4 linked regions of the Arabidopsis thaliana genome follow. The protein of the gene in region 4 interacts with the protein of the main gene of each other region in a pairwise test. Each region holds a gene or a part of one and is shown on either strand. Other genes may lie near its edges.

Evidence for each region.
Region 1: the proteins of CYCD5;1 (region 4) and ICK6 interact in a two-hybrid assay, tested with the Arabidopsis thaliana proteins (one large-scale study listed by BioGRID).
Region 2: the proteins of CYCD5;1 (region 4) and DEL1 interact in a two-hybrid assay, tested with the Arabidopsis thaliana proteins (one large-scale study listed by BioGRID).
Region 3: the proteins of CYCD5;1 (region 4) and ICK3 interact in a protein complementation assay, tested with the Arabidopsis thaliana proteins (one large-scale study listed by BioGRID).

Annotation. Positions count from the first base shown.
Region 1 is NC_003076.8:19,789,576-19,797,692, reverse strand, and holds ICK6 (inhibitor/interactor with cyclin-dependent kinase), read left to right. Parts: upstream 1-3,284; 5' UTR 3,285-3,346; coding exon 3,347-3,777; intron 3,778-3,959; coding exon 3,960-3,986; intron 3,987-4,742; coding exon 4,743-4,937; intron 4,938-5,015; coding exon 5,016-5,085; 3' UTR 5,086-5,423; downstream 5,424-8,117. Other genes in the region: CB5-D (cytochrome B5), read left to right, coding at 7,513-7,599, 8,035-8,101. UniProt on the Arabidopsis thaliana protein: Binds and inhibits CYCD2-1/CDKA-1 complex kinase activity. May target specifically CDKA-1.
Region 2 is NC_003074.8:17,781,395-17,790,184, forward strand, and holds DEL1 (DP-E2F-like 1), read left to right. Parts: upstream 1-1,936; 5' UTR 1,937-2,246; coding exon 2,247-2,380; intron 2,381-2,457; coding exon 2,458-2,525; intron 2,526-2,614; coding exon 2,615-2,667; intron 2,668-2,751; coding exon 2,752-2,829; intron 2,830-2,939; coding exon 2,940-2,993; intron 2,994-3,084; coding exon 3,085-3,196; intron 3,197-3,358; coding exon 3,359-3,426; intron 3,427-3,517; coding exon 3,518-3,593; intron 3,594-3,700; coding exon 3,701-3,762; intron 3,763-3,859; coding exon 3,860-4,265; coding exon of another isoform or gene 4,266-4,294; exon of another isoform or gene 4,295-4,328; intron 4,329-4,351; coding exon 4,352-4,452; 3' UTR 4,453-4,766; downstream 4,767-8,790. Other genes in the region: APC8 (anaphase-promoting complex subunit 8), read right to left, coding at 310-622, 1,086-1,171; ALDH10A9 (aldehyde dehydrogenase 10A9), read right to left, coding at 4,896-4,986, 5,136-5,242, 5,342-5,402, 5,490-5,641, 5,729-5,806, 5,938-6,051, 6,495-6,571, 6,664-6,730 and 7 more. UniProt on the Arabidopsis thaliana protein: Inhibitor of E2F-dependent activation of gene expression. Binds specifically the E2 recognition site without interacting with DP proteins and prevents transcription activation by E2F/DP heterodimers.
Region 3 is NC_003074.8:9,057,742-9,064,928, forward strand, and holds ICK3 (Cyclin-dependent kinase inhibitor family protein), read left to right. Parts: upstream 1-3,094; 5' UTR 3,095-3,248; coding exon 3,249-3,655; intron 3,656-3,754; coding exon 3,755-3,847; intron 3,848-3,931; coding exon 3,932-4,001; 3' UTR 4,002-4,262; downstream 4,263-7,187. Other genes in the region: PRT1 (proteolysis 1), read left to right, coding at 1-54; AT3G24820 (BSD domain-containing protein), read right to left, coding at 4,976-5,117, 5,341-5,438, 6,207-6,337, 6,436-6,625; AT3G24830 (Ribosomal protein L13 family protein), read left to right, coding at 6,872-7,143. UniProt on the Arabidopsis thaliana protein: Inhibits CYCD2-1/CDKA-1 complex kinase activity without interaction with the complex.
Region 4 is NC_003075.7:17,675,995-17,683,756, forward strand, and holds CYCD5;1 (cyclin d5;1), read left to right. Parts: upstream 1-3,173; 5' UTR 3,174-3,502; coding exon 3,503-3,745; intron 3,746-3,825; coding exon 3,826-3,912; intron 3,913-3,996; coding exon 3,997-4,306; intron 4,307-4,381; coding exon 4,382-4,530; coding exon of another isoform or gene 4,531-4,536; exon of another isoform or gene 4,537-4,611; coding exon 4,612-4,794; 3' UTR 4,795-5,270; downstream 5,271-7,762. Other genes in the region: ACA2 (calcium ATPase 2), read right to left, coding at 7,231-7,470, 7,552-7,762.

The sequences.
Region 1 (8,117 bases), on a different chromosome or scaffold from region 4:
GTGGAAACAAATACTCTAGATTTTACAAATACCCTCCTTGTTGCCGTGTGTCACTTTCGGACTATGTACTCGAAACACTAAGCATCAGGTTGGATATTTCCAAGTTGACTGATCCATTGTGAAGGAGTTACTAATCTCTAAGCCGTTCCTTTAGAAAATTCTTCCCAACCCTTTTCCACTCGAATTCTCATGTGTTTTTCGTAGAAAAAATTATATCCACTTTGTACCATCTGTTCCCAACAAAATTACCGTCAAATCTTTTTCAGGGTCTTCACCATTGCCATTCATGAGAGAAACTGACATGAATTAATCTAGGATGATAACTTTTTTTGGAAAAGATGGTACATAGATGACACATCTTCTACGAAAATGCACTGGAAAGAATGAGTTTGGGAGCACATAGTTTAAAGATTGGTTAATTTTCACGTTGGAGTCAATTTGGAAAAATGTAATTCCTAAGCTCAGTTTTTCTAGTACAATATCCAAAAGTGATACAAAGGCAGCACGAAGAGTATCAAAAGCTAGAGAGAAAGATTATATTTTCACTAAACCTACCAGTTTTCGAAATAAAACCAAGAAACAAAATTAACATCAATGATATGATACGCTTTCTAATAATGGTCTCCTAATGTGTTGTAAGTGGGATATATTGAAAGAATTAAAGTTCATATAAGATACATATGCTCTTGGACATATATATGATGCAGTTTAGACATAGTTTATAATTGAAAGTGAAATACAAGAAATCCTCATTAGATAGTTTATGAAATATATTGAACTTTGTAAAAATAGTAAACAAAAATAAATCTAAATTTTTATTTATTTTGTATTTGAAATAAAACCCAAAAAGAAGATCTTTTCATGAAAGAGAAAAAAAGAAGTAAAATTGGTTGTAAATTTATTTCTGAATAGAAAAAAAAAAGAAATTGTGCCACGCAAAACCTTAATGCTTGAGCTTAATAAAATGAACCTTAATGCTTGAGCTTAATAAAATGAACCTTAATGCTTGAGCTTAATAATTGGGGATTATGTGGTTAATAGTATGGACCAGGAATCTTAGTCAGCAAACACTATATGGATTTTCTAATTATCTTAAATGGAAGTAGTAATTTATTTGTTTTTGTTTTTTAACATAGGAAATTTTGAAATATTTAGGTCCAAATTCGTGGTTTCCAAATATCTACACTTCAGATATCCAAATTTGTGGTTTAATATATATGTATATCCAAACTAAATTTAATTACAAAAAAAAAGTGGAATTTTAATATTTAGTTTGCCATTAAAAGATTTTAGATACAGTATATGGATTTTTGAGAGGCATGGCACTATTATTCGGAATCATAGATCCAATCCGGAATTCTTTCCGATCCGATCCAGAAAACCGGATATCCAAGATAGGTGAATCCAGATCCAGAGAATGAATTTACGGATACGTATAATCCGAATTATAATTTGATTTTAATTTATAATGGTGGGATACATACCTTCATCTTTGTTGCCTCGTTCCAGCTTGCATTTCTCCGTAGTAACATGTTGCAGATGATTCCTTCCTAAAGGTTTTGATTGGTATTTTATATTTCGCGCGGCCCAATTGTCACATACATTTTGATTATATCCGCATAATAAATGTTGTTAGCAAACAAATGAGGATTAATATTGAAAATTGTCCCTAGATCAAAAATTTATTACTGAAATCATACCTTTCTTTGCATATACCACATAAAATGCCAATGAATCAAAATTCATCACAAGAAGCAATCATCACTAGTAGCTGATGTGTATATGTAGACGTCTCTTTAGGGTTTTTACAACAATCTCCATGGAATTTTCGATCAACATGTTTTATTAAATCATATTGATTTTTTATTATTTTATGTTTTAAGGTAAATAAGAAATTGTTTATTTTCTTCTTTGTAAACTATTGTCGGATCATATATTTATGTGATGTAGAAGCCATGTTATCGTGTACAATGCGTGTTAAAACTTAAAATTGTGAAACTTTTGTATGTAATAATGATTGATTGACTAATTGATTTTAAAAGATAGAAAATATATAAATTATGGGTCCACATGGTAATTTTATAAAGAAAAAATCCCGGATTTTTTCTATTTAATCGAGAAATATAGATAATGATATACAAAAATTGGTGATTTTTTGTGAAATGTCAGTTGACTAGAAATTTGAAACAATTCTTATCAATGTATTTTTAAAAATATCATGTTTAATATGTAAGTTTAATATTCATTAGTGTGCATAATGTAAGAATAATTACTAATTTACATAAATATTTTCTCTTATATGTGAAAGTATTTAACTACTGATTTATTGATATACAATGAAAAAGTATGGGCTATTAACTTTATATGATTTCAATAATTTTTATGATTAATATATTTGATAAAAATGATAAATAATAAATCATTATTTTAAAAGAAACATGTATATCCAACAAAAAAAGCCGTGTGTAATACGCGTTGGTTCAAAGGGTAATTTAACTATGGAAAATAGTCCTAGATTTATTTTTGTTAAATTGAGAAATAAAAATCATTATATACCAAAATTGTAAACTTAGCAATTTTTTGGTGCAATTTCCGTTGACTCGATTTTTTGGAAAAAGTCTGTCAATTTCAAAGAAAAAATATTATGTTTAAATACTTAAGTTGAATATTTATTCGTGTGCATAATAATAATTTATTTTTCGTATAAACATTTTTTATTCTATGTGAATGTATGTAACTAGTTGTTTGTTGTTACATGTTAAAAGTATGTACTATTAAGTTTATATGGTTTCAATAAAAAAAATTCAATACTTTTTATGATGAAATTATTTGATAAAATTTAAATAAATGAAAATTGTTTTTTTAACAACAAACCGATCATATTAATGAGAATTTATTTTAAAATAGAAAAGCCGTATGCAATACACGTTATATTTAATAGAAAATTCGTAGTCAAATGATGAATTTAATTAGCAGTTTAATTTTTAAGAAGTTAAAGATTTAGTCAAATGATGAATTTAAATTTATTCGACAACAAAAATTATCAATAAATCAAAAATGTAAAACTGACGATTATTCTATGAAAAGTGAAAACACAACGGAAAATACAAATAATAATGATGAGTTTGGGGTTTTATTTAAAAATAATAATAATAATAATATTGTTTTTGACAATTAGATAAAAAAGGTAAACTTTTTTTTTCTTCTCCTTTGTTTTATTTTAACCCCACAAAACTCGAAAACCTTTTTCCCATTTTCTCACTTTCCCTCTTCTTCTCCTCCCTCAAAGCTTTTCCCTCTCATTTTTCTCTTTCCGCTTTCAAGCTTCTTTTCCCTCTCTCAAAAAATGGGGAAATACATGAAGAAATCAAAGATAACTGGCGATATCAGCGTCATGGAAGTCTCTAAAGCAACAGCTCCAAGTCCAGGTGTTCGAACCAGAGCCGCTAAAACCCTAGCCTTGAAGCGGCTTAATTCCTCCGCCGCTGATTCAGCTCTACCTAACGACTCTTCTTGCTATCTTCAGCTCCGTAGCCGCCGTCTCGAGAAACCCTCTTCGCTGATTGAACCGAAACAGCCGCCGAGAGTTCACAGATCGGGAATTAAAGAGTCTGGTTCCAGGTCTCGCGTTGACTCGGTTAACTCGGTTCCTGTAGCTCAGAGCTCTAATGAAGATGAATGTTTTGACAATTTCGTGAGTGTCCAAGTTTCTTGTGGTGAAAACAGTCTCGGTTTTGAATCAAGACACAGGTTCGTTGTTTTTTTTTTTTTTTTTTTGTGCCCTAATGTTTTCTTATTACCAATTCGACTTTTGTGTTCTGTCTTATCCAATAATCTTAGTTTTGAGTCTTACATAGTTTTGAATCTTAGTTAGGTTTCTCTGAAACTTTTGTTGTTTGCTTCAAATCAATTTTTTTTTTTTTGGGGGATGAAAATAGTTTAGTACAAGAGAAAAATAGGTTTTTTATGTTTCCCTTATTGGTTTGGTTTTTGTTTATGAATTGACTCTCTTGTGATGTACTGAATTTTGTTATTACTACTTCTCCGTATAAGTCTCTTTTGGTGTTAGATTTACATTATATCTGATTTATTGCTGTATGTCCCATGTGTACTTCATTGCAGAGATTATCAATGAATGTGTCAAAGCTATTTTCGTTTTATATATGTATTTCATTATTTGTTACAAATTTGGTGAAACTCTGATCTGTTTTTGTGTATTTTAATTTGTTTAAGAACATGTTGATTCTCCTTGTTATTAGGCTAATGGCATAAGAAGTATTTGTACATTGGGTATACAATATTGGGATTTGGTTATTGGGGGTTTACTTAAACACATGGTTTTCGTTTTTACAAAAGTGGGTTGTTGTATAAAGGTCAGAAACTTTTAATATGTAAGATTATATGAGAATTGGGACTTTCCTCATAAGTGTAATGCAAGTACTGTGGTGTCATGTTCATGGGACCTAGTGGTTTTTGCATACTTGGGGAATACTTTTGTAGGATCCTCTGTTTTTTGGGGTAACCGTCCTGCTGCTAGTTGACAATGTGGTGATTGCCTTCTCTTTGTTATTTATTATCTTATGGGACCATATTACTTAGAAAGTCTCTAGCTTTTGTTGTTTACTTAAACCAAGCCTCTTTTTTATTCTGGATGTTTGGTTTTGGTTTGATTCTTGATTTGGTTAAGTGTCTTTGTGGTGATAATGTTATTGAAGTTATTTTATCTGTGTTTTTTTCTGCAGCACAAGGGAGAGCACGCCTTGTAACTTTGTTGAGGATATGGAGATCATGGTTACACCAGGGTCTAGCACGAGGTCGATGTGCAGAGCAACCAAAGAGTACACAAGGGAACAAGATAACGTGATCCCGACCACTAGTGAAATGGAGGAGTTCTTTGCATATGCAGAGCAGCAGCAACAGAGGCTATTCATGGAGAAGTAAGCTTATTCTTTATTTTATTTTTGTGTCATTACGAAGAGGGTGAACAACACTCATGTGTTTTCAATAATCTTCAGGTACAACTTCGACATTGTGAATGATATCCCCCTCAGCGGACGTTACGAATGGGTGCAAGTCAAACCATGAAGTTCAAAAGGAAACAGCTCCAAAAGACATGGTGTGAAGTTAGAGAATGTGATGGAGTTAACAGACTAACCAAACATCAGAAATCGTGTAATCTTAAGTAATAATGTGGTTAGAGAACAAGTTTGAGAGTAGCTTAGGGACCTTAAAACCTCACACCATTTGTACTACTAATCTTCTTCAGATGCTTAGTGAAATTTTCTCATCTGTTTCTTTCAAGTGTTTGTTTTTCTATCTATCTCTCATGTTTATTCAAAGCTATATGTAATGATGATGATTGAGAGGGATGTGTGTGAACATGTTTAAGCTTGGCATATAGTGAAAAAAATGATTCAGATGCAGAAGAAAGAGACCCAATTGAGAGGTTCACGTGTGAATTTTGGTAGGTGTAAAAATCTGAATCATATCCTTTTTCTTTCAACTATACAAGATTGGTCCCTTTTCTTCTCTTACCATAATTATGACGCACGTGAATGTGTGTGTAAATACTTTGACGTTTACATTGAAATACTGTAATGTAAGTTCAGAGTTAAAAGTACAAACACAAAGGTGAATTTTGTACTAATTAGTAAAGAGATAAGAGTGTTTTGAATCTTGAATATCAAATTATTATTAACAAGAAACTGACAAAAAGATGAGACAGTGTTCATTGAGAAGATCTCTGTTGTTTTATCTTTTTTTTTACATTTCTTGGAAATTGGCAAAACCAGTGTGATGAAACTGTGAAATCTTATCTCGAACCCAATCATTGTTCTATGTTTTTCTTTAATCTCTAAAAGTGAAAAAGTGAATGCATGAAACGTTCAGATACATTCATTATATTATACATTTATACATATGGACATGGTGTACGTATGTACACGGGTGCTTGTTTGATCACGGGCTCACTGACTATAAAAATCATGTTTTTTGGGACATATAGATTCGCTTACATCAACTGTGTGACCAATGGGGTATCTGAATTCAGCTTGTTCGATGTTTTGTTTGACTCTTTTAAACTATTTGGTAGTAAAAAGCCAAAAAGGAAGAGCACTGATTACGAAAGCCTTTTTGTCTTTTTGTTTCTTCTTCTCTAGCTCTCTTTCGTTCTCCTTTTGGGTTAGTCCTTCAAAATAAATGTCTTTAACTTGTCATGTATAGTTTCTTTCTCTCGTTGAACACCAACCATAGGCCTTGCAATGTGAGTCAAAACATGCATTGAAAAAAGAAGTGAATTTCAACATTAAATGCTCTCGTTTAACATGCCTATGGTTCCATTAAGCAAAGTACACACTCTATATATGTCGAAAGAACTATACAGTCGGTGTTTTAGCCCTATAGTTAGATACATTCGAACTGATTACAGAAATATCAAATATCCAGTTCTAAGATCGGATTAAGGCAAATACATTTAAACTACTTCTAGCGAATGAGGTTCACATAGAAAAACTTTTTAAAATGAATCACTAAACAAGATTCATTTTCTTTCTAAATAGTGTAAAGACGAGTGATGCATGCAACTGCTCTCCTTTCCGTTGGTCCCTTGTCAAAATATACGACCGTGAATAATTCTTCCCATCATATTTATCTGTCGGAGAGTTCCAACCTCAAAACATTCTCCTTCTCTTATCAATTCTTTCTAAAATCATAAACCAACAAACTGGGCCTATGATCAATTATTCATATTCAATTTAGCCTATAACTAAAACCACACTGCTTTCGTTACACTGGCCTTCCGACAAGTCTCTTTGACTGTTTTTATCTTAAGCGCCATCAAGTTTTAAAGAAGACAACCCCATATCTTTCCTCCCATGAATCATCGTGTCCATATTGCTATAGTTCATGAAAAAACTAAATACTATCGACAACTGAAGAAAAGATCCGGATCTTGTGGACCGAGTGAATGGTTGGGCCCAATTAGAATGGTCTACCCTAACATCTAGCCGTCTACACGATTGATCATACGTCTAAGAGGGCGAAACCACCAAACGTTTGGATTTTATCTAAATTGATGTACATAAAGCTAACATGATTTTAGTATAAACATTATAAGCATCATGGAAATCAATAAGCTAACATGATTTTAGTAGAAACATTATCAGCTAACATGAATTACTAAAAACATTTATTTTATTTTAAGGAAAAACATACAATACTAAGATTTTTTATAACATTTTTTCTTTGTAACATTATAAATTGTTTTAGTTTCTACATTAATTAAATATATAAAATAAATTCATTTAAATAATATAAGAAAACGGAATCTTTGATTAACTGCTGATTATTGGCCACTGATTAATTTCCGACCCCATCAATAGATGAGATCAGACATACACAACTTAAGTAGACCAAAAAAGCGGTTGGTGTAAGATCCCAAACTCACAGATTCCCAAATAATAGTAATACTCTTCCTCTTCTCAACTCTCACCAGTCACCAGCAGATCATCGGAGATGGGCGGAGACGGAAAAGTTTTCACCTTGTCCGAGGTTTCTCAGCACAGTAGCGCCAAGGATTGTTGGATCGTCATCGACGGCAAGGTCCTACATCTCCGATCCCAGTTTCTCATTCGATTTTCCGTTTTCCCTTAGATTTTGCATCTTATCTTCGTGAGATCCGAAATTCTTGAGTTGTGTTGACTTGGATTTATAAATCTAGAGTTATGTAGTAACAAGTTTGGGGATAGATCTGATCTGATTTGCTAGATTAATGTTACTTTTCTAAGTCTAAATCACAGAGAAATTGCTAAAAACTTACGTCTTTATAATTGAATGTGATAGTTGGTGCTGCTTAAGATGTCTCTGTGTGATCTTGTATCTGTAGTTAAAGCTAGTAAGGTTCATGTAGTTCATGTATGTTCTGATGTATGAACTTTTGATAACCCACTTAATCTAGGTCTCTGATTGTGTGGAATTAGGGACTTATATGACAAAGTTTACATTTTTTGTGTGTTTCATTTTGATGGTTATATATAGGTTTATGATGTGACAAAGTTCTTGGATGATCATCCTGGTGGTGATGAGGTTATCTTGACTTCTACAGGTAACATATAGAGATC
Region 2 (8,790 bases), on a different chromosome or scaffold from region 4:
CAATTCCAATTAAGTTTCACTCATTTATTTACTTTTGTATATCAGTTGCATACCCTCATATCTCTTGTATCATAGAACATAACTGTGACTGGACATCAACAAAATTGTGAATCAGAGGCTCAGTCCTATAAGTTTGTAATAACGTCCATATATTGCATTTATTTGAAGGCAGCCTACTGGCCGAGGCTAAAAGAACACTCAAAAGCATTTTGGAGCCAACTTTTAAAAAGTTCATTCCATCACCCTATTCTGATAAGATATAAAAGCTCTAGCTAAATAGAAAATAGGAGATAGAGAAACAGAACATACCAGATAAAGCGCATAGTAACGCAAGAACAGTGATTTCTTGCTCACTTGGTCACGAAGCATATGGGAGGCCCGTCTATACTCTCGACAATCAAAATAGGACTTTGCTAAAAGGTAAATGTCACCATCAATCGCTTCATCTTCTTCCGGGAGAGGAGTAGCTGCTTGAGAGAAGCCAACGGAAGGTAACGGTGTTGAAATAGATTCATTGGTGCTGAACCTTCTCCGGATGCTAGAGCTTCCTCGCTGAAACCTCGTATTCGCAGGTGTAAAATTAGACGGGTCTTGCTCTATCCCCACAAGCTGCTCTCCTGCCCTGCAATGATGAAAGCAAAGGAGATATCAAATATGGAACTGACTAATAGTTCACCACCATTGAACTACAATACGAGTACTAAAAACTGAAACTTTAACTCATAATTCACAAATTAGTGTCGAGCTCAAACATATCGAAAGATTGAACCGGAGATCAGAAGTTCCCATCGAAAGAACACATTTTTTCAATTAGTGTCGAGCTCAAACATATCATAACACAAAACCCACATGTCGAATCATCTGAATTGGAATGTATCCAACACCAAATTCGCAACAAAAGTGAATTCGAATCAACGAATCTGCTTAACCAAATTTGTTTACAATTAGCCCAGGATACAAAAAAATTAGTAAAACCCATAAAGGATAGTGAAAAAATCGATTTTTAATCGAACCAGAGCAGTAGCGAGCTAGAGATTGCAACAATGGGAGAGGTTGAATAAGATTAGGGTTTTGAGAAAACGAACCACTTTGCGGCGGAGTATAAACAGCGGTCGCTAAGCTGTCGAATAGCCGCACGTATTTCGTTTCGGCAACACTCTTTAGAGACCATAGCAGAAGCAGAAACTGAGAGTTTAACTTTAAGTATTCAAAAAAGAATCGAAGAATCTCTTCTTCGTCGTGGAGAGAGATTTCAGAAACATTTGCTCCCTCCATCTTAATTATTTTGAAATTTACAGAGAGATCGTGTGTATTGGGCCCATTGATTAACTTTTGGGTTTCAAAATAGGCCCATGAAACTAACATACACACACACACAAAAACTCTTTACACAACTAATTTTAATATCATATCAATTTTGTCACTTTGTATTAATTTCTGTTAGGTATCAATGAATTATTGAAAAAGTGTAAAAATAAAATAAGAATGCAATTTTTTTTTTTTTGTTTTGTCAACAACTTTAAATTAATTGGTTTAGCTCAAATGAGTAAGACCAAAGGTATGCAAAACTATTATAGAAAAAAAAATCTTAGTTGGACAAAATAACCTTTTGTTTTGGTCAATAGAAATTTTTAATGGTAAGACTATAATTTAGTCAAAGATAGACCCTGATTTTGCTTATGCAAGTAGTTAAACACTATCATGAATCTACCATTTTAAGGGCATTACTCTTTACAAGATTACAAATCAAAAGATTTAATCTTTCCAAAACCAAACAAACCATACCAAACCAAAAACAAATTCAGACCAAATCACTTTTAAATCCTACAAAACCAAAATCCCCTTACAACTTTACTTTTTGAGTTCAAGTAAAAAGATAGATATCCAAAATAGATCTTGTTACTATAATATTGATTGAAAATGTATTATTTTGGTTAATGTAATCTAATTTTGGAAAAGAAAAATGAAAAAGTTGAACAGAATCCTGAAAATATTGTAAGAAATTTTCTAAACCGAAAAAACAAAAAGACAAAAACCAAAAAATTGCGATCTGAACCGAGCACAAAACCGTAAAGGTTTCAGCTTTACCAAAATTTAGAGGAGTGTGTAAATGTTACGGAGAAGGAGGAGCCAAAAAATTCAAATTGGCGCTCAAGTATCTTGGGAAATTCCCCCTCTCTCTTTTTAGGAAATCCCTCCAAAATACAATATCAAATTCTCAATCGCAGACATCGTTTGCGTCAACCATGTCAGATCTATCGCCAGAAAGATTCAAACTTGCCGTTACTTCTCCTTCTTCCATACCGGAATCTTCTTCGGCTTTACAATTACACCATTCCTATAGTCGCAAACAGAAATCTCTCGGACTTCTTTGTACCAAGTTAGTGCCTTTTTACTAAACCCATTTTATTTATTTGTTGTTGAATTTGTTCTGATTAGTGTTCTTCGTAAACTCAGTTTCTTAGCTTTGTATAATCGAGAAGGGATTGAAATGGTTGGGCTTGATGATGCTGCCTCGAAATTAGGTATTGCCCACTTTGTGTTTGTGATTTTTATTTTCATTTCTGATTTTACATCTTAATTTGTTGATTGGGGTTTTTGGGGTTTATTTCAGGAGTGGAGAGACGAAGAATCTATGATATTGTTAATGTTCTGGAGAGTGTTGGGGTGAGACTTGTTTCTCCACTACTTTGTTTTTTTTCAGAATCCAGAAGTGTTATGTTTGCTTAATTCGAGTTTTGTCTAATTTAGGTTTTAACAAGAAGAGCAAAGAATCAGTATACGTGGAAAGGGTTTTCCGCAATTCCAGGAGCATTGAAGGAGCTACAAGTGAGTCTTTTCATTTGTTTTGTATTCGGATTCAATCCCATTCAATCCCAATTGTGAAGAAATGTAGCGATTTGATTTGCATATTCTCATAGGAAGTGTTCTTGATGTAGGAAGAGGGGGTTAAGGACACTTTTCATCGTTTCTATGTCAATGAGAATGTTAAAGTAAGTCATTTGGATTTGGTTTCTTTTGATATACTTGTGTCTTTAGTTTGTTGTCTTCATACTTCTAATGCTTAAAGTTTCATACTTTCAGGGATCTGATGATGAGGATGATGATGAAGAGTCTTCTCAGCCTCACTCTAGTAGCCAGACTGATAGTTCAAAACCTGGTTCTCTTCCCCAATCTTCAGATCCCTCCAAAATAGGTACTGTTTCATTTTGTGCGTGTAGTACTTATTGTGTTCGGGTTTAGTGCCATTGCAAAGTAGTTAAGTGATTTACCCTCTTGGTAACTCTATATGTGGGATATGAATTATGAGATGCAATGTAGATATCCTAACATTTTGTTGGTTGGTTATGTATGACAGATAACCGACGAGAGAAATCTTTAGGATTGCTTACTCAGAACTTTATCAAACTCTTTATTTGCTCTGAAGTAAGTGAGAAGTTCAAAGATTCGTTTTTTGAACTAAAGAGTTATTCACTAAGTTACTAAAGATTTGTTTTTTATGTGTTCAACTGTTTAGGCTATTAGGATCATCTCCCTTGATGACGCTGCAAAATTACTGCTTGGTGATGCCCACAATACATCAATAATGCGAAGTAATTATCTTCGTCTTGTGACCTGAAAAGTCTTTTCTTTTATGTTAACATCCTCGGTTGAGACAAATCGATCTGTGTTTGTTGACACATTGATTACTTTTATGCAGCTAAAGTGAGGCGGCTTTATGATATAGCAAATGTCTTGTCGTCAATGAATCTCATAGAGAAGGTAAGTCAAAGTTATCAATAGCTACAACAGTTGTGAACCATCTATGATTTCAAGCTGTGATTTAAGTCTTACTAGTTTCTGTATTCTCTGGTGGCAGACTCACACCTTAGATTCTAGGAAACCAGCTTTCAAGTGGTTAGGGTACAATGGTGAGCCTACTTTCACACTGAGCAGCGATTTGTTGCAATTGGAGTCAAGAAAAAGAGCTTTCGGAACTGATATTACAAACGTCAATGTTAAGAGAAGCAAATCATCATCTTCGTCCCAAGAAAACGCTACAGAGAGAAGGCTAAAGATGAAAAAGCACTCAACACCAGAGAGTTCTTATAACAAAAGCTTTGATGTTCATGAATCAAGACATGGATCAAGAGGAGGTTACCATTTTGGACCTTTTGCACCAGGCACTGGTACATATCCAACTGCTGGTTTAGAGGATAACTCTAGGAGAGCTTTTGATGTTGAGAATCTGGATTCTGATTACCGTCCCTCTTACCAAAACCAAGGTGCATATATTTTATTCACATCCATTTGATATCAAACTTGTCAAAATATTGCTATGAAATTAACTCTGTTTCTGAACAAATTTCAGTTTTGAAAGACCTCTTTTCCCATTACATGGATGCTTGGAAGACATGGTTCAGCGAAGTCACCCAGGAGAATCCATTACCTAATACATCACAACACCGTTAGATCTTCTTTTTCTTCTTCTTCTTCTTCTTCTTCTTCTTCTTCTTCTTCTTCTCTTACCTGTGAACATCAATCATCATTCGTGTAGAGAGCTTCAAGAGTCATTTCTTTTGATCAATGTGGTTTAGTTTCTCCACACAATTGTAACTGCAAGAATCCGACATTAATTCACAGATCGCATACCCTCTTTGCTTTCTGAAGTTTACTGTAGGCTGTAACTTTTGTATGTTACATATAAGAGCATTCATCTTTCGCCAGTTTTTTGCTACTTTTGTATGGCATGTTGTTTTGAGAAAAACAAAAAGAAATATCATCTCATCTTATTTTTCATTTTTTTCAAGAATTTAAAGTAGCAATACCATTTCTCTTACAGAAGGGTCTCTTGCTTTATTGGTATATTCTCATGAGTACATGTTTTAAGGAAATATCAGGAACTAGTGTTTGTCTCAGAGCTTGGAAGGAGGTTTGTACCATCCCCATGGTTCATCAGAGATATACTGAGTCACCTGCTTCACACTCAAGTAGTTCTCAAGTCCCCTGCGACGAAGAAAATATGTTTCAATTCAAATTTTGTTGGTAATCTATTACGGTTTAAGTTACTATGGACACAATTCCATCTAGTTGGAGAGTGTCTTTTTCTAATGGTTTGATAATCTTAATACTTATAGCTAACGAAAGAGACTAACCATTCTCCCAATTCACGGCCAAATCCACTGCGTTTGGTTCCACCCCATGGAGCTTGGCAGAAGCATGGCTGAGAGCAGTTGACCCACACTATTCCCGCCTGGAAAGCCTGAAACACACAATGATTACGATTCATAAAACTTTAGAGATTAAGTTCAATCATGAGGTTATTGATTGTTATTGTTGATAGTAAAAGTTAGATACACACCTTACTAACACGATCACACCGCTCCAGATCATTTGATAATACTGCGCCTGCTAATCCATATCTGCAAATACAAATAAAGTCAGGCATATGATCTAACACGTCATCAGTGGAGTTCTACTTCAAGATAAGAAGAGAAATCTACACTCACTGAGAGTCATTTGCAAGCTGAATTGCCTCATCCTCGGTGGAGAATGTTTTCACACACAGAGCAGGACCAAAGACTTCCTCTCTCCAGATTTCCATTGAAGTAGTCACATTTGAAACAATCGCAGGTTCAACAAAGTATCCCTTCTTTAAATGCTGCAGAACATAAATAAAATATTGTAAGTGCTACGGGCTCTAGATAGTATTTGGCACATACATAGAAGATTAGTCAATATAATGTACCTCAGGACGAACTCCTCCACAAAGAACAGTTGCACCTTCATTCCTAGCGTTTGAGACAAACTTTAGAACTCTCTCGTACTGCACAGGAGGATAAATATGTAAGACTTGACTAGAAATCTTTCGTCATTAACCCAAATTGATAGATAAGAGGGTTTTGGAGGATTGAGGTGTTTATTCTTGAGAATGTCAATTCTGTTTAGCAATTTAACCTGTCCTTTACTGACAACAGGACCAAGCCTACAGCCTTCTTCAAAAGGATCTGAAATCTTAATGTTCTTGGTCCACTTTACCAGCTTGTCCAAAAACTCGTCAGCAATCCTTTCCTGACATTTCACCAGATTCTTTCATGAAAACAACAGTACACAAGAAGTATAGTAAAGCTTCGCTATCCTACTTTTATCAAGGGTTCCCAAGGTCCTACGACAACTGATACTTATCAATCTATCCGAATTGCTGATGACCAGTCTTACAGATAAACATATACTGAAACTCTGTACCTTTGCATCGGTGGTTTCATGTAAAAGATAAGTTATATATTCTACTTGTTTTATGACTAGAGTAGCCTACATAATTATAACTTAATTTCCAAAGGTAACCTTTAATTTTACAACATATAATTGTGTTAACGGATAACACATAACTTGTTTTATATGTGTTAACGGATAACACATAACTTGTTTTATATGTGTTAACGGATAACACATATCATGAACAGTTCGGTGCAGAATTTAAAATCAGAGGTACTGTAGATTATAGGCTCACTTACATGCACAAGAAGTCGAGATGTGGCACTACAAATCTGCCCATTCGTCCAGAAACAACCAAACATAGTCCATTCCACAGCTGTTTAGAGCAAAATATTAGTCACAAATTAAACCAGCATTTTAGAATACAAATATATAGCATAGTTTTCTTAAGGTTCCAAAAGTACCCACCTTTATCAATATCGACATCATCAAAGACAATGATAGGGCTTTTACCCCCAAGCTCCAAGGAAACTGGCTGTGGAATGAAACATAAAACAAGATTCATGTACAGACCCCGAAAAATCATAGGTCGAATAAACAAGCCAAGATAACTACTAGTTCCAAAGGAGAGTAACAAGGACACTTAGACTTACTTTCACCAATTTGGCAGCGGAAGTCATAATGCTGCTTCCAGTTGTTGTGCTTCCAGTGAATACAATCTGGTAAAGGCTAAAATATCAATACTTCAACTAACCCATAAAAAGGAAATAAGTGCTCTATCTATAAGTGTTTGACTTTCAGGACACTGGTAGTGGTATACAAGTGATCAGACCTTGTCAACATGTGGATGCGATGCCAGTGGAGCACCTGCTTCAGTTCCTAAACCAGTCAGAATATTAAGAACACCAGGTGGTAGACCCACCTCGCGGCAAATATCAGCGAGCTCCAAACATGTCCTGGAATAAAACAGCATCAGATTGGCGAGTTAATGAACTAATAGTTGAAGTGGCTAGCTATGATGTCAACAGAAATCAAAAACTCACAGGGAGGCCAACTCTGAAGGTTTCAGTATAGCCGTGCACCCAGCAGCAAGTGAAGGAGCGACTTTCCAGACAGCCATCAATAACGGATAGTTCCTTGAATGCAAATATAGATTATTAGCTGCCTAATAACATACGGTTTGTCTAAAAAGGAAGATAGAACACTTGAAGACCAATGTGATCTGAATATGTAAAATTTAAATCCGCGAACTTGACAAAGGATAATACACAACGATCTGAGGGATCGGTTAGATTCAAATCTGTCAATGAAATATAGTACCATGGAGTAATCATGCCAACTACGCCAATGGGTTCCTTGAGAATATAACCCTTAAAAGTATCCATCGGAAGAGAAAGAGGAGTCTTCTGCTTTGCATCCAAGCCTTCAGCTAGGTCAGCATAATATTCAAAACATCCAGCAACATCATCCTGCAAAGGTTACAAGCAACCACATGTGACATATGAATCACAAAACTGCCAAATGTTCACAAAAGCAAATTGAGAATACCATGTCCCATGCTGCTTCATCTAGAGGTTTACCGCAATCAATAGCCTCAAGATTAGCTAGTTCAGACTTCCTCTCTATTACCTGGATATTTCCATTATGTTATTGCCAGGCAAAACAGCTAACAGAGAATGAAACATGAGAGGAACATAGATTTGATTAACTCATTGTTGTTACCTTAGCTGCAATAGCGCGCAAGTATTTGGCACGAACAGCACCAGTTGCTCTAGCCCAATCCTTTCCGTTGTTCCTAGTAAATGCTTTCCTAGCAGCTTCCACAGCAAGCTCCACATCTTCAGAAGTTGCAGCTGGAATATAACCTAAAACCACCACCAATCCCAGTTTAAAAAACACTACAAAGAACTCCATCAGCAGGAGAAGAGATCCAATCCAATCATTCAACTACATATCTATCTATTCTCCTCCTATATAATCCCACAGATCTAACGCAAAAACAACTTCCGCTCCCGTTCATAGACAATAATCACAGAAGAAATGACGATCGTCTCAAACAGACAAAAGTTCAAAGCTCTTTCAATTCGCGAACTAAGTATACAGCAAATCGGGAAATGCGTAGTTCCGATAACGATAGATTGAATCGAAACTCGCGAAAATCGAGTGATCAAGTTCAAAAAGTGAGTAACACAAGATATGATTGGAAAAAATAAAAAGTACCGATGATGTCTTCGGTGGCGGGATTGACAACAGGGAGAGTTTTACGGAGAACGGGCTCAGTCCATTGACCGCCGATGAAGAGTTGCCGTCTCGGCACCGTAATCGCCATACTCTCTCTCTCTCTCTGCTACTAGAGGTGGTGAAAAGGAGTAAAATGGGATCGTTGGGACTTTCCGTTTTGGTTCTAAGAATGATATCTGACCCATTTTTCTGATAGCTGCTCATATAAAATAGTTTTTTACCTTTTAAAAAATAAGATTGATTTAATTCATGGATATTTACATTTATTTGGATTTCTAACCATTTTTACATCATTTTTTTATATACATCCTATACGAGGCTGTCTTTTTTTTCTTTCTTGTAAAAATTGTTTAA
Region 3 (7,187 bases), on a different chromosome or scaffold from region 4:
GAAGGCGAGGAAGGGCCTCCTGGTTCTTCTAATGAGTCATCAAGCACAGAATGAAATAGCAGTCAAGTATTAATGCATATGCTTTCGCTTTGTGTTTGCGTTTGTTATTGTATTTATACTTCATAATATATTTTCTCCTGAGAAGTCTATGGTTTTAACATTTTAAACAAAGTTTATTTCTTAACAAAGTTTGTTTGCATTTGTGGTTGTTAAGTCACCTCTTTTGTTTATATTACCTTTAAAGTGTGATTTATTTTAATTCCTCTCATTAGTACACAACTATTATTGTTAGTGTAAAGAATCCATTTAACAAAAAAAAAGATAGAAGAAATTATCCATTTGAGACAAGATAATTGAATACAATAGTTACTAAAAGGTTAACTAGCCAAATTATTTGTTTGAATGATTAAAACTTTTTTTTGCACAAAAAAAAGATGATTAAAATCTTTTTTAAGAATATATAAAATTATGTATAAATTAAATTCTTAGATCATTTAAATACCCATATTATTCAATATTCATACTGAATCCGTTATCCGTATCATTCATTTTTTTTTTAAAAAGTACAGTTATAATAATAATTGTAATATCTTAAATTACACTTATTCGATTCTTTCAGTTATTATCCGGTATTTATCTGAAAAAGAATAAGTTTAGTCATGTAAATGTAAAAAAGAGTGAACTTTTGAAACAATTGAGGCATGTGAAAGCTTTTCAATATACATATTGGCTTGAACTTGAAGGATTGCTAATAGATAGTAACTGGATTCAAGGGACCCCATCAAGGTGAAAGATTCGCTCCTCTGAGTGCGTGTGAGGCAGCTACGATGTGATTGGTCGGAGTGTGGAACCCATGACTGCTCTTACGTCGGAAATCGTTTCTCGGGTTCTGTCTTTTTTAAAACACTTTATTATTGTATTAAAAAGAAAATAAAGGAAAAAGTTTTTTCAGTACGAGCGTGTTGTGATAACAGTTTTTTTTTTTTTTTTGGCGCCCTGAAAAAAAGGGCGGGAGGACGTGAAGAGTGTTATTGCAGATCCTTTATTTGTTTTTTGTTTTTTTTGCCTTTATCTCTGATTTTTGGGGATTCGGTAGCGTTCGAGATCTGAGCTGTTGCATGATTGCTGAGAGTCATCGCACGTGTGCCTTCCTTCTTTGTACGGTGAAAATAGTTTTTACCATATTTAAACCGGTTATAAAGTTTTGTTCAGGTTTAAAGTATTATGGGCTAGTAGTGTGATCTTTCGTGTTTGGATGAACTGATGAACAAAGAAATATCTAAAGATTGTACACAGTGTTGGTCATGCATACGATTTGAAGCATATAAAATCATGATTCATGAGAATGTCCCTTTGACATCTTCGATAAAATCATGAGAATTATGAATTATCGCAAGCTTTAAATTTAGAGATTTTTAATGTAATTCATCTTCTTCAATAATAATAAACCTCTCGATTAAGAATAATAAGCACCGGGGCATTGACATTGGGAGCCTCTACTCAGTACTCACCTTGTTGTTGTTTCACGGGTTACATATATATTAATATAAGAAGGCCTTTTAACAAAAATAAATAAATATAAGTCTGATTTAATGTATAAATGTATATCACGTAACAGTAGATTAATTAGTCGCCGCATCACGATTCTTGTTTCAAAGAAACAAAAAAGAATAAGACTGTGTTTGCTACACAAAAGAAATGTAGAAAACCAAATTGAGTCATATATTTACATTTCAGATACTATAAAGTATAAACTAAATTTTATGTAAAGGAAAATTAATTTTTCTATTTAGACGTGAGTATAAGCATGTAGTCAGACCAACTTTATTTGTTCGACAAATTTACCAACAAGTCAACTTTTGAAGCCTAATTTATGAAAGATAATCTCAACTATTACATCACAAAGAGAACGGTTGTTGAGATGATTACATAACTATAAAACTAGAAGCAACCAATATAAATGTCCAATGCTAATAAATCCAAAGAAAATAAATACTTAGGTAAGTGATCAACCCTATGATGTTAATTTTAAGACACTTGTTTACTTAAAAAAAAAAAATTTACAGTCAAATGTATCTGTATACAATTAATGTGTACGTTTTTGTCAAATGTGAAGAATTTAATAGATGGTTGACTCTTTTTTTCTTTTGAACCAATAACCTGCATGACATTTGAAAATCTGAATGCTAGCTTTTGTTTTGGATTGTTTGTACAAAGTTAACGTTGACTTGTCTACCAAATTTTATGAAACAATGAAAATGGATGCAAAAAATGAACTGCCTTATTATCTTAAACCAAAACAAATTTGACACATACAACGATCTTTGCATTATTTAACAAAAATAACTAAAAATTTCCACACGATATCAATTGCTTTATAATCATGGATGGTCTACCAAAGCAATTAATATAAGCTTGATGATCTTTATTCTCAAAGACCTTGTTACTTTCGGCAGCCTTTTATTATTTGTTGCACCAACCACTCATAAACTTTAAATACTATATATATAGTGTATAGAATAATTGGAATATATATTTCCAAAAATGTTCTTCATTTGAGAACTATTATTTTATGTTATTTTGGAGTAACTAAGAATTAATTATATAATATAAGTGAAATATAGAGTCGGAAATATGTCGTTTACTACATGAATTATCAAAAAGTTGTTATTTAATACGTAAATTTTATATATAAACATTTAATATATGTAAAAATTATTGACCGGTTATTTTACACAAACTTAATTGTTTATCAGCCAAAATTTATACCAACGTAAAAAAATTAGATAACATTAACTTAGTGTAAAATAACTTTTTTCTATATATTAAATGATTATATTCAAAGTTTACGTATTAAATGAATATTTTTTAAAAATTTGCGTATTAAACTATATTTTTCTCAAGCAAACTCAAATTAATACTTTAAATATCTCATATATTGTTCATAATTTACTTTTGTAAAGTAGACTTTTAAGTTTTAATCAGATAGAATACAAAAATTAAATTAAATTCCAATTAATTAAATTTTGATTTATCTTTTTTCGAAGAAAATGATGACAATCAGGTGAGAGGGCCTTTGACACCTTAAAAATTTGTCTAATTTGTTTTTTGATTCGATTTTAAAATAAATATTTCCATTGTCCTTTTAGTTTTCACTTTTTCAGATTAAAAATCACTTTTTTCCTCCTCCTTCGTTGCTTCCCTCCTTTCGCTCTCGACCGGAGATTCAGTAAACCACCTTCCCGGAGATGGGAAAATACATTAAGAAGTCAAAAGTCGCCGGTGCCGTTTCCGTTAAGGATAAATCTCACCCACCCGCTCTAGGTTTCCGTACCAGAGCCGCCGCCGCTAAAAACCTCGCCCTCCACCGTCTCCGTTCTCATTCCGACGAAGCAGACTCCTTTAACTACCTCCAGCTCCGGAGCCGCCGTCTCGTGAAGCTTCCATTACTCACTAATACCAGAAAACAGCAGAAGCAACAGCTCATTCCTAGTGTCAATCAATGTCAAACGAAAAACCCTAGGGCTAGTTCCGGTCCGGCGAAGAAATTAGAGCCGGATACGACGACGGAAGAAGCTTGTGGTGATAATGAGAGAATATCTAGGTCTGATTGTAATTTTGGAGATAAAGGTTTTGATTTGGAATCAGAAAACAGGTAACTTTAACTCTGTTTTTTTTTTCATTTTAAAGCTCCAAACTTTTTTTTTTTACTACAATACAGAGATTGAGTTTTGATATGTTGGTTCTCTCATAGGAGCATGATAAGTGATTCAAAATCAATACAAAGTGAGATTGAAGACTTCTTTGCTAGCGCAGAACAGCAACAACAGAGATTCTTCATTCAAAAGTACAAATCCCATTTTCTTTAGTGTCTTGATTCTCTTGAGTTTTTAGAGTTTGGTCTGACTTTGGGGGAGTTATGGTTTTGCAGGTACAACTTTGACATTGTCTCGGACAATCCATTGCCTGGACGTTACGAATGGGTCAAAGTGATGCCATGAAATGAGTTGTGTTCGATGTAAAGTTGTGTGCTTTAGGAAACATCTGTGTTGGAACAGAGGAGATGAAAATTGCACACAGACTAACTTTGTGGGGTTTTAGGGTTGGTGTATAACTTGTTAGTCAAGAATAATGTAATGTTAATCTCTCTCATTTGCTACAAATAAATGTCTAATTTAACTGTCAAGTTACTTAAATTAGTATTGTAAATCTCTTCATTGTTCTTTGGTTACTTCAGTGAAGGTCTGAGTTTTGTGGTTCTGCATTAGAGTTACTTTACAAGTCATATACTTTGGATTCAAGTAGCAAAAGTAGTGAACTTGTCTGAACAAAAACCTTAGTCACAGGTTTTATCTCTATCTTCTTTATTGATAGTTTGATACTCTAATCTCATTGGGCTTTTCACACATGTGGGTACTTGTACCAATTCCTCTGTCATACAGGTTGCAGTAAAATGCTTCGATTAGATTTCATCTCTCTCTTCTTTATTGGCACTGCACTCACTGTCTTGCTTTCTGGAATTATTTCTTCAAAAGTCTAAGTTAGTAGCACCTTTCATGCTAAAGATTAGGTTTCTTGGTTTCTGTAAAATATTTCACCTCTTTAGATCATTTGCTCATCGGATGAATCAAAACATTAAATAATGATGTCTATTCTTATTAGTACAAAGCGTTTAAGACCACTGTGTTATGTCTGATACTAGTACTAAATTCACATGATCATTTACATCTCTGAAGAATCAAAACCTTCTTGGTTTTGTCACCTTTTAACACATGAACAATATTTACTGATCAAGCCCTGCTTCTCCGATGGTTCAGCGTTTTTGTTTGGTTAATTTGTGAGCAAAACTGCAAAAGCAAGTCATAGGATGCTTAGAGTGATTTCATTCTCGTTGATAATAGTTGTATTAAGTAAATACGTAGTCTGTAATATTACAGTACCTGTCATGTTCCATCCCAACTCTACCACCGAAGCTTCACGGAGTTGCAGGTCCTGTACTCAACCTTTGCTTTGTTTCTGACATTTCAACTTCATATACACCCTTGCTTTCAGAAGTTTTACTGTCTTCCATGGCCATCCTCCTGATTTGAGCCTGTTGGATTGCTAGCACCTCATATCTGCAAATAATTTCCATGAACTACCAATGGTTAAACTCATATTTCTCGTGATCTTTATTCATCACTTTGTTACAAGCTAAAAACCCATCTCACTATCTCTATATGAAAGTGGAATCATACACAGAACAACAGAGTAAGGTGCATTTAACACCTACTAAGGGCATTACACCTGGAGTTATGGAACCATCTCAAACGAAATTTTTTGGCATAAGAAAGTACTTACTTTGCCACAATCTTCCTCACAAGCTGGAAATATATCCTCCAAAACTGATGTTCCTTTAAAACTCGCGGGCATAACTTGAATCTCAACTGTGAGAGTTCCTGTAACACGAAATCAATCTTGTTTAGAGCAGCTTTGAAAATAGATTCGTTTAAACCCAATGGTCCTATCAACCAAATTCAATTTTACCAACTGTGTAACAAAATCATCTTGAACTGCAAACACGAGCATGTTTACCATTTTCACTAACATGAGCCTAACCAGATTACAAGCAATTCAGGAAGATAGTAGCATCAAATGAACTATAAGATTCGGCACATAAACTCTGATCCGATTCTGATTCAAGTGATACCAGTGGACCAAGAGCTCTACCACTACCAGTTCCATCCATTTAGAAATCTTGCTTAGTCCTAAAGAGTAACTTTCAAATTTCCCTATAAGATTCGATCCATTGCTCCTAATTGACCAAACCCAAAGCTACAAGCAAATCAAGAAGACAGCAACTTTCTATAGGCGCTATAAGAATCATCAACTCTTATTTGAATCTAATTTAAATAGCACCGTTAGCTCCAAAATCCAATCATTGATCATTTGAAATCTCTACAGACAACAGCTACAAATTCCATTCATTTCAACACAAGTTCAATCATCAAAAGAAGCAAAATTTAGGAAATCAAGAAGACAACAGCTATGTAATAGGCTATATAAGAATCATCAGCCCACACACTCAGATATGAATCTAACTTTAAAATAGCACCATTGGCTCCAAAAGCTAAACTTTGATCATTTGTAATCTCTACAGCTACCAATTCCATTCATTTCAAAACAAAAGTCAATCACAAAAAGATTCAAAATTCAAGACCAAAAACCTTCGATTTCGATAACACGAGAACCGCGTGTTTCTCCTGCCAATCAGACAAATCCTTCTTCACATTTGCAGATGAACTCATTCCATTATCTTCATCTCCCAAAGGATTCACAGATACTTCTTCTTCTTCATCTGTTTTAGAAATTACAACCCAAACTACTAAAATCAACTTCATAAATCACAAAACTAAAAAAATCCTAACTAAATTGGGATCCAATTTTCGTAATTACCTTCCAGAGAGAAGTTCTTAAACGTATCAATGGTGAAGGATCTGACATGATCGATTAACTCATCAGTAACTCCCAAAATCTCATCTTTACCTTCTTCCTTAACACTCGATCCATTCTTCAAGCTATTCCCATCTGAAGATTCCTTCTTCTCTCTTAAAAAACTTCGTCGAATCCTCGAAGCTATATTCATTGCTGATCCTGTGAAGAAGAAGAAGAATCTGAAAATCTCCAATGCCTTAGAAAGTAGAAAAAATGGGCCTGGGCATGGCCTGTTACTGGGCTACTGGGCCTTATTATAATAACAAAAGGCCCAATAAATTAGGGTTTAGAGAACTCTTAACCCTAATGTCGCATCATATATAAAGTCGCCATTGAAGTGAAGCTGAGATCTTTTCGAAGAGCGGAAGCTAAGGAGAGGCGAATTCGAATCGAGAAGATGGTGTCTGGGTCAGGGATATGTTCAAAGCGTGTCGTTGTTGACGCACGTCACCATATGTGTGGTCGTCTTGCTTCGATCATAGCTAAAGAGTTGCTCAATGGACAGAGTGTTGTTGTTGTCCGATGTGAGGAGATTTGTTTGTCTGGTGGTTTGGTTCGTCAGAAGATGAAGTACATGAGGTTTCTTAGGAAACGCATGAACACTAAACCTTCTCATGGTCCTATTCATTTCCGTGCTCCGTCTAAGATCTTCTGGCGTACCGTTCGTGGGTTCGTATTCTAATCTCACAGTCTTAAAGTTCTTAGCTTAGTAT
Region 4 (7,762 bases):
CTTTCACACAGTCAAAGGTTCCACTTAGATGGGCACCAAGCCCCAAAGAAATTCAACACATGGCACAGACTATATCGTCACTGTAATTATTTATTTTAAACCTTTTTTACTCTTATAGGAAACTTATCTAGTAGTGACATGATATCATAATTTATATTTATATCATATAGTTTTTTGGATTGTTACTAGTTAGGCAGAGGTGGAGCGTCTTCTTCTTCTTCGTTTCTGAGGCAATCCAGCCTTTCGCACGTGACCGACGCTCCTCCACTGTAGTTATTGTCACGTGCGCCATCATTCCACCATCAATTTTTTTTTATATATTATATCATATTTCTTTCATGTATTATTCAACATCATACACAATTGATATTTGATAGTGTTATGTCTTTTTTGTCCATAGAGACCTTCTTGTGGAAACAGAGGGACCGAGTTTCTTTGTTTTTGCTAGAGGATGAATAGACTAATACACACCTCGAAAGGAATCATAAGTAGATTGGAAAATATTGTGTGTAACGTGTGTTAGGTATCCTAGATTTGTTAGTTCATTAAAAATGTGATCAAATTATATTTGGTTACTAACTCTTTTTTTTTTTTATATGTCTGACTGTTAACCCTTCTTAACTCTTAAGAGTTCACTATGTTCAAATAGGAGCATTTATTTTCGTCTCATTTGCTATATGTAATGTCATATTTAGTTACCAATATTACATTTTATTTTCCACATAATAGTAATTTTATTAAATGCGTGAAATAGACCACAAAAGACTTTGATTCCTTATCAACAAGGGAAGACAATCATAGAAAGAAAAGCACGAGAAAACAAAAATAATTTTGTTTCACCAAAAAAAACAAATTAGACATAGATATTCACCAAGCGAGTTAGCCTAACGACCCAAAACTTGTTTTGAAGTGATAAAAAAATATCCTGCAAATTCATCATCATCGTTACTAATTTCGGTCAATCTTGGCAATTGCAGATCACATCATCTAAATTCTAAAATGATGAAATGCATTTTTCAAGTTATTGTGAAATTGGTCCCTCATCTTGACTACATACAAACATCTCAGAAAAAAATTTGTAACATAATGTAATCATTGTATATATATACATAGAAATGCACAATAATACAAGTCAGAAGTTAAAAAAAGGAAATACAAAAATAATCTGTAAAATACGTAATGTGAGAATATTACTTGTATCTAGGGGGGAGATCGAACAAATGCTGCTGATACTTCACTAACATACACATAAAAGTTGCAGATTTTGGATCTTGCGTCTTCTTGGTTTTATACCCTTTTCTTACATCTAGTCTTATAAATATTAATACTATAATAGAAAAATTAATTATCCTATATATTGAATGACTCGGCTCCAAAGCCATGCGCCTATATATACAAGTCTTTTTATTTTTTAAAAAATTTGTCAAAAAAGGGACCAGAAACATATAAAGATGGGAGCCTCATTTGCTGATGGATAAATAAATATTTATTTGATTTTAAGTTTGTTCAAGACTAATTATAGTACAAATTAGTAAATTGTTGTTCTTTTTTTTTCTTAACATATTACATATTGTATAGTATAATTCCACTTTCATCCAATTGGATAATCAGTTATAATTCGGATGGTTTACGATACATCGGATTCTGCTTTCAATTTTTCTTGTATACATCAAAATTTAACACATGATAAGGTTTTGGAACCCGCTAACGAGACCTACCTATTTTTACAATAAATATACTCATTCAGTATTTGTCTATATTTCTACCTACAATCTATGTGAATTTGCTTACGTATATCTACTCTTCTTATCTACGTACTGTATAAATTTTCATACACAATCTTCGTGTCTCGTAACATCTACTACATGAGTCATATACAACTTTCTCACCTAACATGGAAGTCATTACTCGTAGGCCTAATTACTCGTTACCGTGAATATAACTATAAAAAGTGAGGAAACAAAAAGATTTACGGAGAAGAAAAATTGAATAATAATTGCAATAGAACTATAGGAAAATTTGTATATGACTTAGCAAAAATAATGATATGGAACTAAATTAAAAAGTTGAGAGGATTTTTTTTAGTGGGAATGGTATGGTGTTTCCCCCACCAATTCCTAAAAAAAACTTATTGCAAAATTGCTCTTTTGATCTTTATTTTCTTCCATTGAAAATGAATTTCTAGGTCTGAATTTAATTGAAGTCAATAAGTGGGAAATAACTAAACTAGCTATTCCTCTGTTTTCTGTTCACAATTCTATTTTGAATAAAGTACATTTTAATTCAAACCTCTTAAAATAGAAGTTACTACAAAAGCAACAAAGGGGGTGGTACGTGGAATACACTAATGAGAAATGTTAATAAGAACGTTGTATTTGGAATGGGATTTAACTTTCTGCACATAAATTTCAATGGGATCATTATTCTTTCCTAACTAAATGATTGATACAAATTCAAAGGATCCTATAAATCTTATCTCAGAGACCGAAAGAAAATTCCATTTGTACAAAACAACAAATAAATAGAAGAAAAAGTTTGATGATAACATTCTTAACAGAATCCGTGAACTTTGTTCATGTAAGAAATCTAGAGTGTAATCAAGGAAGTTCAACAGGTAAAAACAATGACATTTATATATGGACGTTCTTAAAACGTGTAAATCTCATATATTTAAGACAGCCACAATAGTTCTAAACGCTCTCCATTCCTGCATTAAGTATTTATTTCTATTAATAACATTTAATTTATCAATAAAGTTCACATTATCATAGACAACTCCGAAATTAAAAAAGTTTTTTTAAAATAAATTTGCTTAAACTTAAATAATCAACAAAATACAAAACAGTTTAATGGAAATAGCAGAAATCTTTTTCAAGAAAATACAATACTATTAGATAAAAACAATTTTGTTAAATTAAAAAAAACCCATAATTGACTAGCATCAAAAAGTCTTCAAACACAAGTAATCCTGCTGGATATTAAAAAAATAAAAGAGTAATCATTCCTTTAAAAAATGTGATTATTTGTCGACCCAAAAAAAAAGAGTGATGATATTATACATATACTCAAATATTAGTGAACAAATAAAACCTAAAATTAATCAAATAATAAAGATTTTTAATTTAAATGTAACCGCTAAATAACGCCCCCTCTCTCTCCCCCACTTATTTTTGGCGGCACCAGACGCGGGAGACTCTCTCTCTCTCTCCACTCTCTCTCTCTTTTTTCTTTGTTTTTTCGTCACTTGCTCCTAAAATCCCAAATCGAGTAATGGAAGAAAAATCAAATACGATGATTTAGCTTCCCTTCTTATTCTTCCCCTATATTCACTGCGATAACTTTGCCTCTCATCTCATAAATTAAAAAAAAAACACTCTTCTCACAAATTCTTTATAATTCCCCTTTTGATGTGTACGGACACACCACCGAAGCAGAAGCAGAAGAAGAAGAACACTTCTATCTCCGCCGCCGCCGTCGTCTTCATCATCATCGCCGCCGTTAAATGGGTGAGCCTAAAGACAGTCTCGCTCTCTTCCTCTGCCACGAATCGGAGTCTTCTCTAAACGAAGACGACGACGAGACGATTGAGAGATCTGATAAGCAAGAACCTCACTTTACTACTACGATCGATGATGAAGATTATGTGGCAGACCTTGTTCTTAAAGAGAATCTCCGATTCGAAACCCTACCCTCTAAAACGACGTCGTCTTCCGATAGATTGATTGCCATCGATTGGATTCTCACTGTCCGTAATCTCAAAAAGATTTTCCCTTTTTTGATCTTTGTCTTAATCTCTGATTGATTGGTTCTTTGTCTTAATCTCAGACAAGAACAAGATTTGGGTTCCAACATCAAACAGCTTACATTGCAATCTCATACTTCGATCTGTTTCTCCACAAAAGATTCATCGGTGTAAGTTTCAATCTCCAGTTTCATTTATCTATAAAAATCTCACCTTTATCTTCAGATTAAAGCTTAAAGATGGTTTCTTTGTAGTTGCAGAAAGATGAAACATGGGCGATGCGATTGTTATCAGTAGCTTGTTTATCATTAGCTGCTAAAATGGAGGAACGTATTGTTCCTGGTTTATCACAATACCCTCAAGATCATGACTTCGTTTTCAAACCCGATGTCATTCGTAAAACTGAACTGTTGATTCTATCCACATTGGACTGGAAGATGAACTTGATCACTCCTTTTCATTACTTCAACTACTTCCTTGCTAAAATCTCTCAGGACAACCATTCTGTTTCTAAAGACTTGGTGTTGTTAAGATCCTCTGATTCTCTTCTTGCTTTAACTAAAGGTAACTCTATTAAGAAACACATTTTTTTCTCAAGATCAAAGCATTTATTGATATCACATTTTTGTTTCCATGTAGAGATAAGTTTTACGGAGTATCGACAGTTTGTTGTTGCTGCTGTTACTACATTGCTAGCTTCTTCTTCTACCTCATCGGATATTAGATTGACTAGAGAAGAGATAGCTAACAAGTTTGGTTCGATCTCTTGGTGGACTTCTAATGAGAATGTATAAATCTTGGTGTCTTTTTATTCGATTTTGATTGTTTGATGTTGATGATCATAATCTTAGGAGTGTTGGGTTTTGTAGGAAAATGTATATTTGTGTTATCAGAGAACGCTAGAGATTGAGGAGAGGAAACATATGACACCTCCACCGGAAATAGCGGTTTCTCGCGAACCGCCGGCTTCAGGAAGTGGCGCTAAACGCCGATTGTCTTTTGATGATTCTGATCAAAGTTCTCCACCAGCCAAGAGAATGCGTAGGCTATGAAGAGAGAGTTTCTTTCTTCTTCAAGTTTTGGCTTATATTGATTTGGTTTCTTTTTTGGCAACATATTGATTTGGTTTTATATTCAATCATTTGATTATAGAGAAAAAATGGTCTGAATACATCGGTTATTTCAATTTTTATGAAGTAACTCATATAGGTTCTTCGTATGAAGGTCTTTGGATTTCTTGGGGATGAAATGTGACTATTAAAACATTAGGGGCTTCTCTGAGAGAATCTAGGAAATATGAGGAGTGAATGTAAATAAATAAGAAAAACAGAAAGGGTGAATAGTTTTAGGCCAATAGTTGCAGTGCCAGTGATTTGGTTTCACATCCTCTTTTATTTTTTTATTGTCTTATTTTTTTATTTGTTATGTTGCAATTTCTTTTTCATTTGATATTACAAAATTTTGTCATAGATTTTTTTTTTTTTTTGGCATCAAAGTCCATTTTTTTAACCTCTTTAACTTTCAAAAGGGCTCATTCATAGCAAATAATAAATGAAAAAACTCTTTTTAAGGTAAGGTAAAATTATTTTATATTTGATAAATATATTTATTTTCTTATCTTTATTGACACTTTTGGTCATCTCCAAAGTGAATCCATCTGTATGCTACTCAACATGTTATGTCCATTCCACAAAGTCCTTCGTGATCTTTTCATGTTCTCAAATCTCAATATATAATATCTTGGAAAAAAATTAATCAAATAAAAAGAAAATTTTCTTGTTTAGGAAAAATCATCGTTACTTATCTTTGATAGATAACTACTTTTACGAATTGACAATCAGTCGATCACGATAAACTAAAACGGATATATATTTTGCTCCAATAAGTTTTCTTTAGCATTATAGAAACCAACAACTTGTAGTGGAACTGTGGAAGTACTTTGGATCAATGATTGGATCTAAAGATGAAACCCCAATTTATACAGAAATTTGCATGTGATGTTTTTAAGTTAACGTACTATTCTACGCGCAAGTCAAAAGTGCATCGTACTCGTACATATAGAGGTAGATTGTTTTTTTTGTGTGTGTTTATAGGATTATTGTTAATATTTTCAATGAAATGCAGTTGAGAAAAAAAAAAAAAAACATATGTGTAATAGACTGAAGAAACAACAACCCAACGACTTGTTTAAGTGAGAAACAACTGTCTCATACAATACAACTTGGGATCCAAAGTTTTGGTTCCATTAATTAAAGCTTTAATTCCAAAATGATTAGCAACGAATTAAAAGACTTATTACAAACAAAATGCATTCTTACAAATTAAGAAGCATAAAGTACTGACAGAATATAATTAAAGATAATGTGTGTGTGGTTTAAGGCCAATGTTTTGTTGCTCTAAGAGATTATTCAACAAATCAAGAAGCATAAAGGGTCAAGCTTTACTTCACCAAGAACTAGTTAATGCTTCTGAATTTTCTGTTGCCTATCTTTCAATGAATATTAGTATGTCCCAATTGTTATTTTTTTTTTTTGCTTATTATCATTGAGTTAAACCATTTTGTTTCTGTTGGGTTTTGTGTAGACATATGTGAGATTCACGGGTAACACAATTTAGTTACAACTCTCACTTTGGTTAGGAGATGGATAAACTAATGACTAGTGAGATTGAAATATCACAAAAATAACTAATCTTTATGTAAATTCTATTTTCATTCTAGATATTAATTAGTCCTTTATTTATGAACATTTATTCACACGATCACAAACTTAAACAATTAGTTATAGAATATTTTACCGGTCTAATGTTCACATAGAAATTATAATTTACCTATACGCCTACAAGGGACAAATGACTATAGTATACTCATTTTTTCAATCTAAAAAATGGTTTTACTTCATAGAGATCCTAAATTGATAACATTTAAAAATGTTTTTTTCTTTTCTTAAAGAAGAGTCTTTCTTATTTATTACAGTTTTGAGATTGACAGGCTTTGGAATTGTTATATGGAATCAGTTTTGACTGATGAGATATGATGTCAGGAGAAGAGGCTCCCACTAAAAGCCATGACTTCATTGAGAGATTTTCTAAGTATATCAAATTACAGTCTGGCTAGATAACAATTTTGTACCCAAATAATCATTTTTCTTATTTTAACCTTTTGCTTCCTCTGTTTTTTCAATGTCCTTTTTCTGTATTTTTGCATTTGTCATTCAATAGAGACCAAATTTAGATTCCAAAAATGAGAAAAAGAAAGAAAAGAGAAGTGTCATTTCAAAGATACAGAGAGTTTTACAAAAATGGAGGAAATCAGATATTTGTCCTTAATAGCACTAATCAAACTGAAAAATAAAAGTCAAGAATAAAAAACAGAGTCATTGCATAATGCAAAAACTTTGTTAGAAGACTTGTCCGTTCTAAACTTTGAAGTAACTGGTCTAATATAGAGATCTTTAAAGAGTGGTTTCGAGCCAATTTTGATGGAACGATCAAACGGGAATCGTCTTCAGTCCAGCGGCGATTGGCATACCCAAGAAACCTATGAAGATACTGAAGATCCATTGTGTTATTGTGAGTGGTGTTGTGCTTGCAAATGTGCCCAAGAACTCGATGATTATGATCTGAAAGAAAACCGTTGCACCGATCACAACCACAAAGACGTAATTGTCCAGTATTCCTTTGAAAACATCGATCTCTTCCATCTCTCGCGAGCTTATCTCGTTAAACACCTGGAGTTTTCAGAACCAAAGTCATGTCAAGAATCTATCTTTATAGCTCGAGTATTGTTATCAGTAATCTTTGTTCTTTACCTGACAGAAGACGAAGCAGTTGAAGATAAGAGTGTTTAACATGAGAGTTGAGTCAGGACCGTCGAGACCAAACATAGCCTTCCCTTTGGCTTGGAGAATCCAAATTACGATGAATTGGTAAACAGCTTGTCCTAAAATGTTCCTCCACATCGCATTAGTGATGAAATTGCCTCTCCTTCCAACAGGTAAACGCTTCATCAGCTCGTCGTTT